Cricetulus griseus: one gene and its partners. The main gene of each other region encodes a partner of the protein of the gene in region 2 in a complex. Links are inferred from orthologs where the notes say so. Each region holds a gene or a part of one and is shown on either strand. Other genes may lie near its edges.

Region 1 (4,338 bases), on a different chromosome or scaffold from region 2:
AGAAATGTCTAGCAAGGGGGTTATTTGTTTGCTTTCAGCTTCTCCCAGAGCCAAAACAGAGCTGGAAGCTCAGAACTGGCCAGTACTCTATAAATTCAATTAAAGTATACATGACAGAAGAGTGAATAAATAGGTTACTTTCCCTGCTTTTGTACTTGCTTCCCACGATTCTGTAAAGAATGTAAAGTTTGTTCTTCCTTTAGTAAATGATCTTGGGATGTAAAACTATAAGCAATACAAATATGTGGTGTTGTTTTGATGAAAACGTAGTTTGTTTTTTCAAAAATGTTCAATTACACCAAGGTGTCTTCAATAAAGGAAAATGGTTTTTAAAGCAATTTGGTGAAAATAGGGTAGGCATTTTGTTTTACTTTTTAGTAGTACCTCACTACTTAAGATGCCCAATAAATGTTTGGGGTTTGTTTTGTTTTGTTTCCTCTGTGTAACTGCCCTGGCTGTCCTGGAACTTGCTCTGTAGATCAGGCTAGCCTCGAACTCAGATATCCACCTGTCTCTGCTAAAATTAAAGGCCTGTGCCACCACCTCCCAGTTGCTCTTTGTTTGTTTTTAAAGTGATCTTCGTATTAAATAACGACGTTCTTTAATCTGGAACAATAGAAATATTTACCTGGGACTCGGATGAGAAAAAAATATGAGAAAAGGGCAAAAGAAAAGGAGTCCTGTGTAATTCCAGGCAAGCTAGTTTGGCTGCTTTGAAACATTTCTTTCAAAAATTACCAAATTGTTAACTGAAGGTCTGTAGGTGTAGTCTGAGGTCGGAGGTAAAGTAACATACAGCACACACACACACACACACACACACACACACACACACACACACTTTCTGAGTTTTCTAAACGATCACACACACTCTTTCCGAGTTTAGTTTGGCTGCTTTGAAACATTTCTTTCAAAAATTACCAAATTGTTAACTGAAGGTCTGAAGGTGCAGTCTGAGGTCGGAGGTAACATACTGCACACGCACACGCGCGCGCGCGCACACACACACACACACACACACACACACACACACACACACACACACACACACACACACACACAGTCTGAGGTCGGAGGTAACATACAGCACACACACAGACACACACACACAGACACAGACACACAGTCACACACACATACACTTTCTGAGTTTTCTAAACGGTCCATGGAGACGTCATTTCCACAGCAGCATTTCGATTCTGCGCCTGAACCTGAGACAGCCTCTGCGATGGAGTCCCGCCGGCTGACACAAGCCGGGAGCAGCCGAGAGCAGCCGGGAGTGCTCGTGGAAGGAGCTCGGGTCCCACCAGGTGAGCGAGGACTGGGGGCTACTTCCTCGTCACACGCAGCCGCGGACGCCAGCCAGTACCTTCCGGCAGATGCGGACCTTCGGAGACCGGAACCAGGCTCCCAGGATGTGGGAGTGGCGGAACAGAATAGTTAAAGTACCACCCTCCGCAAGGCCGGGCAGCTAGGCGGAAGTGAAGGACTGACTGAGCTGGGGGAACTTTGCCTGGATTGCACTTTCCTGTTCTCTAGTCCGCCCCCGCCAGAGGGGCTCGGCTCCGGGATTCAAGATGGAGTCGTTGAGTAGAGCAGGGCAAGAGATGAGTCTGGCGGCCTTGAAGCAGCACGACCCCTATATCACCAGCATCGCAGACCTCACGGGCCAGGTCGCTCTGTACACTTTCTGCCCTAAGGCCAACCAGTGGGTGAGTGAGGCCCAGCCGCGAAGGGTGCCAACCTGGCCGCTGCCGCCTCTTAAAGGGGCCGCGCAGGCAGCTTAGGATTGGGGGTGGGGGAGTGAAGCAGGACCGCAAAGGCGAGGCCAGAACCTCTCCTAAAGGCCCGGCCAGAACCAGAGGGGTGACGGGGGCACGCGGAATTGGAGGAAAGAAGCGGGAGAAATATAGCAGGGAAGATCTAATGGAGGGGAGGAATGAGGCAGGATCAGTCCTTTGGGGTCGGTTCTGGGGACTTGAGTAATTTTACTTTTTTACTGGTTGCATTGGAAGGATATGAGACAAGTTAGTTTTTTTTGGGGGGGGGAGGTATTTTTGTGACTGAAATCTGTGTTTCAGACTTTGAGAACTATTAGATAAATTACATGTGTCTAATCACAAAGTCCACCCCTCTCCCCCCAACCTACCTAAATGAGGTGATTTGGATTTGAAGCTTAAAAAATCAGTTTCAAGAGTTAGTCCCGCTTTAATCGAACTACTCTAGAGTTTGGGGAAAGATTTCAAGGCATCTAAGGAAAGGGCACTACGGTAAGAATAGGGTTCCTTGGAGACCTTTTGCAGGGAAAAGAGACCGGTGATACCTAATCTTTGATGGCTCACATCTGAGGACTTTTTAGATTTTGTGAGTGGCGATGGAGTTCCAAAAAGTTACAGTGCCTACTCACTGACTTGTTAGCTTCAACTTAAAGTACCTTTCAGTTGTTTACATGGTTTCCCATTTTCTTGTGCTGACTCTTTCTAATTCATTCAACTGTAAAAGCTTCATGCCTTTAATCTGTAACTGTTGATTGAATAGAATTCATCAATGATAGGCGTTCACCCTTCAACAAGTAATGAGGTCCTTGAACTAACAAAACGCTGAAGGACTGGTCTAACTTTTATTCACTGTGACACTGATACATAGATGTAATTTTGTGGAAGTGTATTGTCATTTATGAAAGTTTACGTCAGAAGAAGTTTCCATAATCATTTTCCTTCTCCTTCTGGAGGGGAAAGGGATGTAGGAAGCCACTGAGAATAAAATTACAAACTGTTTTACTGGTATACCTGTTTTAAACAGTGCCTTAGTTTGAAGTATTTTGTATCATTTTTCTCTGCTTCCTCTATATGTAAATTTGTAACATAAGGGCTGCAGACAATTGGTGAGAATTTGCAAGTAGCATTTATAACTGTTACCTATTTGTAGTTTTTCACAAAGGCTTGCAACACTTGAGGATTTTCACCATGGAGTTGTTTTAAAATGAAATTGAAACCTAAGCTGCTGTTTTTTTGGATCTTGATACATGGTGCATTCACCATCATCTTTTCTTATTTATTAGTGGTGAGTTGTAATTTTGCTCAATGTATTTTGGGAGGCAAGTTTACTTTTACTCTGAGACAACTGGCTGTCATCTTTTTCTGATGAGAGCATTTTTTTTAAAGCAAGAAAAGGCCTCAAGAAGGATAAGTTTCATTGTGATGTAGAAGACATGTACAAGAAACAGATCTTTATTTTTAATTTTTTATCACAACAATTTGTTTGATATAACGTTAAGTTTTGATAATCTTTTGGTTACATTTAAATTATCAAGATCCAGTGTAAGCCAAGAACTACAGACTGACAGGATTTTGGGGTTTTAGAAAAAAATAAAAGCACTCTGCCTGTGCCTAAAACCTGACTATATTCTTGTCAAAACAGATGAAAGAATATTAATGGGTTGTATTTTCTTGTTTTGTTTCTTGTAGTGCAGAAGATCAAACCTAGGGCCTCATGATCCTATTCAAGCACTGTACCTCTACCACTGAGCTATATATATCCAGCCCAAGTTATTTCTTAATCAAATTTTCAAATGTTTATTTTAAAAACCTACCAGAATTGCCTACGTCTGAGAATGAGGTCTATCCATGGATTCTTAACAAAGTGTTTGGTAGTAGTCCTTAACTAACCACAAAATTTGTTACTAATGAAAATATTCCTAAATTCTCCAGAGGTGAAACAAAGTATATAAGAAAATTTCCTGAGAGTTAGGGATTTGGCTCAGTGGTATACAGCTTTACATCATCAGCCCCAGACCCTGAGTTCAGCCCTGGTATCAGTTTACTTTCTTTTTCTATTAACTTTGATAGACTGTTAAAGTTTGGTCAGGTTTTTTTGTTTGTTTTTGAAGTTGCAACACAAAATACTTCAACATTAAGATACCTTGTTGAAAGGTTTTAGGTTTGGCAAAGTTAAAGCTGGGACTGGAAAGATGGTTCCTCGGTAGCTAAGAGCACTGGCTGCTCTTCAGAAGACCTGGGTTCAGTTCTCAGCACCCACATGGTGGCTCACATCCATCTGTAACTCCAGTTCCAAGGGATCCAATGCCCTCTTGTGCCCTCTGTGAGTTTCCAGCACACATGTTGCGTAGACGTGTGTACTGGCAAACATGTATGTTTGGTTTTTTAGTTTTTAAAAAAGTTAATGCATAAAAATAAAAAGTAAAGCTAATTCTGGTATTTTGTTTTTTAGTGGTCCTTAAGGTTTAAAATAGAAAAATGCTACAGATGTAGACATGTTGAATTGAACATTGATTACAATTATATAAACACCTATAGAGTTGAATGGATACACAATTTG
Region 2 (3,144 bases):
TAAGTGTGTGTCTGTGTGTCATGTGGGGATCAGAGGACAATTCACTGTGGGGTCTGGAGATTTAGCTCAGTCATTAAGCTTGTATGCGGTGCTTTTACCCTTCAACCACCTGACCCAATATTTTTTTCATTAAATGTTGTCAACAATTTGATTTTGCATCTGACTATAGCATGCCTTGTATGGTTTTCTTTGTGTTTCTTGGGGTTGCTATTCTTAGATATGTAAGTATATGGTCCTGCTTCCTATTTCTTTCTCTGTGACTGCTGCCACCTGCCCTCACAGGTATAGTGTTTTGCTCTATGTTGTCTTCCATTTCATTATACTTCATGATTTTCTTTGTCTCCTTCCCCCTTACCCCCAAGAACTGAAAAACCAAATCCAGGGTCTTGTGCTTGCTAGGCAAGCTCTCTACCGCTGAGATAAATCCCCAACCTCCTGCCCCTCACTAAATCTCTAGCCCACCTCCCTTGTTTTTTAATTTTATTTTGTATGTACAGGTTTGCCTCCATGCTTTCTATGTCTGGTACCCAAGGAAGTCAGATGAAGGTGTCAAGTCTCCTGAACTGGAGTTAAGGTGCTTGTGAGCTGCCATGTGGGGGCTGGGAACTGAATTCAGGTCCTCTGCAAGAGTGACAAGTGTTCCTATCCACTGAGCCATCTGTATGGCCCCCACAGTTTTCTTTTTCCATGTTTCCTGCATTTTGTTTTATATGCATTTTTATATACTGGGTGGGGACTGAACCCAGAGCCTTGTTCAGGCTAGACAGTTCTCTGCCACTGAGTTATACCCCAATCTTTTTCCTTGAGACAAGCTCTCAGTCAATTTTCTGGGCTCTCCTTGAACTTGCTCTACAGCCCAGGCAGGTCTTGAACTTGCTAGGCTCCTCCTGCCTCTGTCTCCCAGGTAGCTGGAAGTTCAGGCCAGGGGCCATAGGCCCTGCTTGAGACGATTTCTGTGTGGCCTCTGTGGCGAACCAGTGCTTCCCTTGCACCTGTCATCAGCCCTTTCCACTTGGAGTATGTAGTTTTCAGCTCTCACTTTGTTGTAGTTTAAATCTCTCCTCTAGGCATGTGGAATGTCTACATCATGACTGTTTTAATGGCATTACTGACTAGCCTGTCATCTGACATCCCGAGTCTTTCTGCTCTCTGATTTTCCTCCTAGTTATAGGTTTCATTTCCTTACAGCTCTGTGTCCTCCCTAGATTTGGTGGGATGCCCTGCCTTGTGAATTTTACAGATTGGTGGTAGAGGTTGTGTGCCTGTAATTACTTGTGTAGGATTTGTTCTGAAATAGAGTGATACTGCCAGGAATCAGGTGTATCCTTTCAGGTTCGTTTTGGAGCTTTGCTAGTGTGAAACCTGAAGACCTTCAGACTTGGCCTCATTTGGCTGTATCATGTACACAGATACCTTCCCAGAATTCTTCATGGTGCCCCAAGTAGTGCCTGTTTCCCAGAATCTATCTGGTAGGAGCTGTTCCCAGGGTTGTGGCTCTTTCACAACCCTGCTCTGCCTACTGTTTGCTTACCTGCTTGCAGGGTGGAATTAGTAGGGTGCATCTCTGTCCTATAGATCCTCCACCTCAACCCTGCTGAATTCCCTCATCACCCTGATCCCAGGGGACTGCCAGCATCCCTGGATATGAGTTGCCCCACGACGACGACGACAGCTATACAGCTGTGCAGTTATAGGCCTGGTGTGGTGTTCCTGGTGGTCTGAGTCCCTAAAGGGAAATGGTGGAGCTTCCCTTACCTTGGGAAGCTTCCCTTACCCTGTGCCTTCACAAGGCCCACACTATCTCAGTAAATATGATGGAAGAGAGTCTAGAGCCTTCCAGGGTCTTCATTGTATTCCCTGCTACAGATCCTGTGACATGGCATTCCTTGTGCCCTGGAAGTGCACTGGGACAGGTAGCAGAGCTGGATGTGGGGAGTTGATGTCAAGACAGAGCAGCTCAGCCATGTCAGTGATGGGAACAGTTGAGGGGCCACCACGCATTTCGTCCTTCTGGCGCACCTGACTACCCCTGTCTCTGGTCACAGGTTGATGTCTGTGGAAGAGGAACTGAAGAAGGACCACGCTGAGATGCAAGCAGCTGTAGACTCCAAACAGAAGATCATTGATGCCCAGGTTGGGCTCTGGCCACAGTGTTAGAGAGCTTGGGGGGATGGGGAGGTGACTGGCTTCTCTATCGTCCTTGGTTATACCTAATTGCAAAAGCCAAGGACCAGGAACCACAGTCTCTGTTCTGAGGAAGCTGACCAGTGGAACTTACTGGGAGTTGGGGGAGGGAGAAGCAAGCTAGGTAGAGGGCCCCAGGCCCCCAAGTCCTTTCACTCAAGGCTGTGTCCCTTTCTTCCCAATGCCCCAAGAATTAGTTAGACTGTAAAGTACACAGCCTAGGAATGAGGAGCTCGATGGTGTTATGTATGGAAGAAAGCAAGGGCTCCTGCCTTTGAGCCGGTAGTTCTGCTTTAACTCTTAAGAGGCAGATGACAAAGTCTCAGTCTGTGATGGTGCAGAACCTTCCCCACACCTGACTTCCAACTAAGTTTCCCTGTTTTCCTTACCTAGCTGCCCTCTACAGTCTACAGCCCATCCCATGCCTTACTAATGCCCTCCTTGCCCACAGGAAAAGCGCATCGCCTCACTGGATGCTGCCAACGCCCGCCTCATGAGTGCCCTCACGCAGCTGAAAGAGAGGTACAGCATGCAAGCCCGTAACGGCGTCTCCCCCACCAACCCCACCAAATTGCAGATTACTGAGAACGGCGAGTTCAGAAACAGCAGCAATTGTTAACCTGCCTAAGGAGAGGGGGACTGTGGTGGCCCCGGGCAGGGTCTTGGTCTCAGTCAGGAGGCTCCCCACAGTTGCAGACTCGCCTGCAGTGGAGGGAGCACAAGACTGATGGAGTGTGAGCCGGAGGGCACAGTGCCCCCTTCTCTTCGCCCAGCTGAACAGCGGGTTTGGGTAGAGGCAGCAGAGACTGCACGCTGGGGAGCGGGGGACAGCCTGGAGGGAGGCCTGCCAAATGTGTCTGTTGGTGGTTGAATTTGGTATGTGTCACCTTTTCCTTCTTGACCAGCCAAGTGCATGTACCCCTTACCCATTGCTAGGGAGGGAGCTACCTGGAAAGGGCT
Region 3 (3,650 bases), on a different chromosome or scaffold from region 2:
TTCAGTTGAGGGGCATCTAGGTTGTTTCCAGGTTCTGGCTATTACAAATAATGCTTCGATGAACATCGTTGAACAGACGTCCTTGTAGTAGGAATGTGCTTCTTTTGGGTATATGCCTAAGAGTTGGAATTGCTAGATCTTGTGGTAGACTGATTCCCATTTTCCTGAGGAATTGCCATACTGATTTCCAAAGTAGCTGTATAAGTTGGCACTCCCACCAGCAGTGGAGAAGTGTTCCCCTTTCTCCACATCTTCTCCAGCATAAACTGTCTTTGGTGTTTTTGATTTTGGCCATTCTGACAGGAGTAAGATAGTATCTCAGAGTTGTAAATTATTCTTGTTTTAGCATGTATCCCAGTAGCTATGTGTGACAGTGCATACATATTTAATGGTTGATAAAAAAAATACCTTATGTGTAAATTCCAATTATACTGAAGTAAGCAATTAAGGAAATTGGGAAAATTCTATTTTCATGGGTCAGAAATAAGAAATGAATCTTGTCTGTTTCCCATTGCACTCAGAATTATTATTTAAATAATAATTTTAGTCATTTAAATACAGCCTGACTTTTTTTTTGTCAGTGTGGTGTCCCTAGACAAACTCCCTATTGTCTGGTGCCTCCTGTCTCCACAGATGTGCACTGGGAACTACACCTTTGTCCCTTACATGGTGACACCGCATAACAAGGTCTACTGCTGTGACAGCAGCTTCATGAAGGGCTTGACGGAGCTTATGCAGCCCAACTTTGAGCTGTTGCTGGGGCCCATCTGCTTACCTCTTGTGGATCGTTTTGTTCAGCTTTTGAAGGTGGCGCAAGCAAGTTCCAGGTAACACAGTGCTCACACTGGGTGATGATCGTGCAGGGTGGTTCTTGCTTCCTTTACTTGTGTATCTTGTCACAGTTCCTAATTAAGAGCCAGGAAACAATGTGCAGTATCCTCTGAGTGAAAAAAAATGGTTTTCTTTCTTTCTTTCTTTCTTTCTTTCTTTCTTTCTTTTTTTTTTTTTTTGGTTTTTTGAGACAGGGTTTCTCTGTGGCTTTGGAGCCTATCCTGGCACTCGCTCTGGAGACCAGGTTGTCCTCAAACTCATTGAGATCCACCTGCCTCTGCCTCCCGAGTGCTGGGATTAAAGGCGTGCACCACCAACGCCTGGCTAAAAACGTGGTTTTCATTCGTAAGTTGAACCTCATTCACTTGGTTTATAAACTACTTTGCTCCCAATCTATTAATTGTTTCATATTAATGACAAAACTGTATCTGTGTGTATGTATGTATGTATATATGTGTGTGTGTGTGTGTGTGTGTGTGTGTGTGTGTTTATACATGTATGTATGTATGTATGTATGTATGTATGTATATGGAGAGAGAGGGAGAGATCTCTTGTGGCTACATCAGAATGAATGTCCAGGGACTTTTAGTGTAAGGGACAGAACTCTGCAAAAATTGCTGAGAACACAGTTTAGTTAAGAATGATCTTCAGGCTGATGAGATGGCTCAGCAAGTACTTGCTGCCAACCCTGACTGCCCGAGCTCTTGCTTCCCTGGAACTTTCTATGCAGACTCAAACTCAAGTGCCACCATGCCTAGTAAATGTACTTAAAAAAAAAAACCAAAAGAATTACTAGTTATTTCTGTTTGTGGTGATATATTGTTCATGATCTAATAAAGCTTGCCTGGGGGCCGGGCGTTGGTGGCTTATGCCTTTAATCCCAGCACTCGGGAGGCAGAGGCAGGTGGATCTCTGTGAGTTCAAGACCAGCCTGGTCTACAAGAGCTAGTTCCAGGACAGCCTCCAAAAGCCACAGAGAAACCCTTTCTTGAAAAACCAAAAAAAAAAAAAAAAAAAGCCCTGGGGATCAGAATGCAAAGCTTGCAAAGTTTGCCACAGCCTTAGAAGCTGTGGCACACACCTTTATTCTCAGGACTCAGAAGACAGAGGCAGATGGATTTCTGTGAGTTCAAGACCACCCTGGGCTATGGGAGAGTGAATCTGTCTAAAAGAGAAAGGGAGCATAGGCCTTTAATCCCAGCACTAGAGAGGTATAGAAGGAGCTCAGTGCAGTCTCAGGAGCACTCTGAGATTTGGTGAGGAGCAAGCAGTCTGGAGATGCACTCTGAGGTTAGGTGGATCACCCCTTCTGAACATTGGTAGAGGTGAGACCTCTCTAGTGGCTGGCTGCTTTGCTTTTCTGGTCTTCAGCTTGAATCCCGATATCTGTCTCTGGGTTTTTATTATTCCTACCACATCTGTTAGTAGATAATGATACTGAGCCAGAAAGGTAAGGTTGTATTATATTCAGATCATAGGCATATCTAATTTATTTGGGATCATTTCCATCCAAAATAGCAAGGTGAGAAGTAAAGTTTCGACAGTGTTTGAAATATGGCAGAAATTGAGAAGAACTACACGGCTTTGCATCTCCCAAATGTCTTAATGATGCCAAATATTCGAGATGTTCCTTCAGTGCATCTTAATGAGCTAAAGACTGCTCATGGACAAATGTCATATATTTCCTTATAACATTACTGCTTTTCACTGAATTATTTTCAAAGAGTTAACTCTTTAAAATGTATGGTTTTTCACCAGCCAGTATTTCCGGGAATCTATACTCAATGACATCAGGAAAGCTCGGAATCTATTCACTGGTAAAGAATTGGCAGCAGAATTGGCAAGGATTCGGCAGCGGGTGGACAATATTGAAGTTTTGACGGCAGACATTGTCATCAACCTGTTGCTTTCCTACCGAGATATCCAGGTGAGAAGATAGTGTCTCTTGGGTAACATGCTGGAGGAGGAAGGGATGCTGGTGTTGACTTTCAGCTAGCTAATAAGTATTCCATGTTGCCGAATGGAGCTGACTGATAACTTTCCACCGTGTGGTTTCATGGTGAATGGAAAAGACTCACACATGGTGACTTTTGGGGATTATGACATACTCATATTTACTCTTCCTTAAAATTGCTCACATATCCAGCTCTTGGAGGCTCAGTTCTCTCTTGTGAGCCTCAGGCACACCTGTCAGTCAGCCAGTGAGTGAGAGCTTTCTTTTGGCAAACAGCAGAAGTTCTTAGTGCTTTCTGAATATATCTTTTACTTCCTGAAGTTATGCTACTGGAAAGGATCATGCCAGGAGTAAGAAATATGCAGCTGATTCATTGTAAAATAGAGGTAAAACCTGTAACATGACACGATGGCCTACGGTATCATTTCTACTGACATGTCTTAGTTTTTTTTTAGATCTGGAAAGTAGGATATCTCTCTGTGAAGGATATGGCATTACGGGTGTAGTGTAAAATCCAGGTAACTCCTGGTTTCTCATTCCCATGTCTAGCCTCTTGGCCTCAGGTGAGATTTCACCCATGAGGCTCAATTCTTAGAGAACTGTTTCAATTGAGAGTCTGTGGCTAGAGGAACTTTGTCCCATGAGATGAAATCATTTTGTTACTTAAAACAGAAGTTCAGTCAGTTGCTCCCTGGCCCTGAAAGGAACTGTTGGAACCCTGTGGACCAGGAGCCTGGCTGTGTGAAAAGAGCTGGTCATGTCTCTGTGGTTTATTTGTTTTATTTCTTTGGGTTTTGTCAAATTCCATATCTGTCTTTTTCATGCTTAGATCCATGTAATAGGAACTTCTTAGGAGAAACACAGC

Evidence for each region.
Region 1: Dab2ip (region 2) and Dcp1a share a complex: the UniProt entries of both Homo sapiens proteins name them as parts of the cytoplasmic complex. The link is inferred for Cricetulus griseus from reciprocal best matches to the Homo sapiens genes DAB2IP and DCP1A.
Region 3: Dab2ip (region 2) and Map3k5 share a complex: the UniProt entries of both Homo sapiens proteins name them as parts of the cytoplasmic complex. The link is inferred for Cricetulus griseus from reciprocal best matches to the Homo sapiens genes DAB2IP and MAP3K5.

What each region holds. Positions count from the first base shown.
Region 1 is NW_023276807.1:189,261,186-189,265,523, reverse strand, and holds the start of Dcp1a (mRNA-decapping enzyme 1A), read left to right. Parts: upstream 1-1,495; 5' UTR 1,496-1,577; coding exon 1,578-1,712; intron 1,713-4,338. UniProt on the Homo sapiens protein: Necessary for the degradation of mRNAs, both in normal mRNA turnover and in nonsense-mediated mRNA decay. Removes the 7-methyl guanine cap structure from mRNA molecules, yielding a 5'-phosphorylated mRNA fragment and 7m-GDP.
Region 2 is NC_048599.1:147,603,192-147,606,335, forward strand, and holds part of Dab2ip (disabled homolog 2-interacting protein), read left to right. Parts: intron 1-2,045; coding exon 2,046-2,133; intron 2,134-2,635; coding exon 2,636-2,706; coding exon of another isoform or gene 2,707-2,793; coding exon 2,794-2,798; coding exon of another isoform or gene 2,799-2,803; exon of another isoform or gene 2,804-3,144. UniProt on the Homo sapiens protein: Functions as a scaffold protein implicated in the regulation of a large spectrum of both general and specialized signaling pathways.
Region 3 is NC_048595.1:269,795,888-269,799,537, reverse strand, and holds part of Map3k5 (mitogen-activated protein kinase kinase kinase 5), read left to right. Parts: intron 1-633; coding exon 634-827; intron 828-2,589; coding exon 2,590-2,758; intron 2,759-3,650. UniProt on the Homo sapiens protein: Serine/threonine kinase which acts as an essential component of the MAP kinase signal transduction pathway. Plays an important role in the cascades of cellular responses evoked by changes in the environment.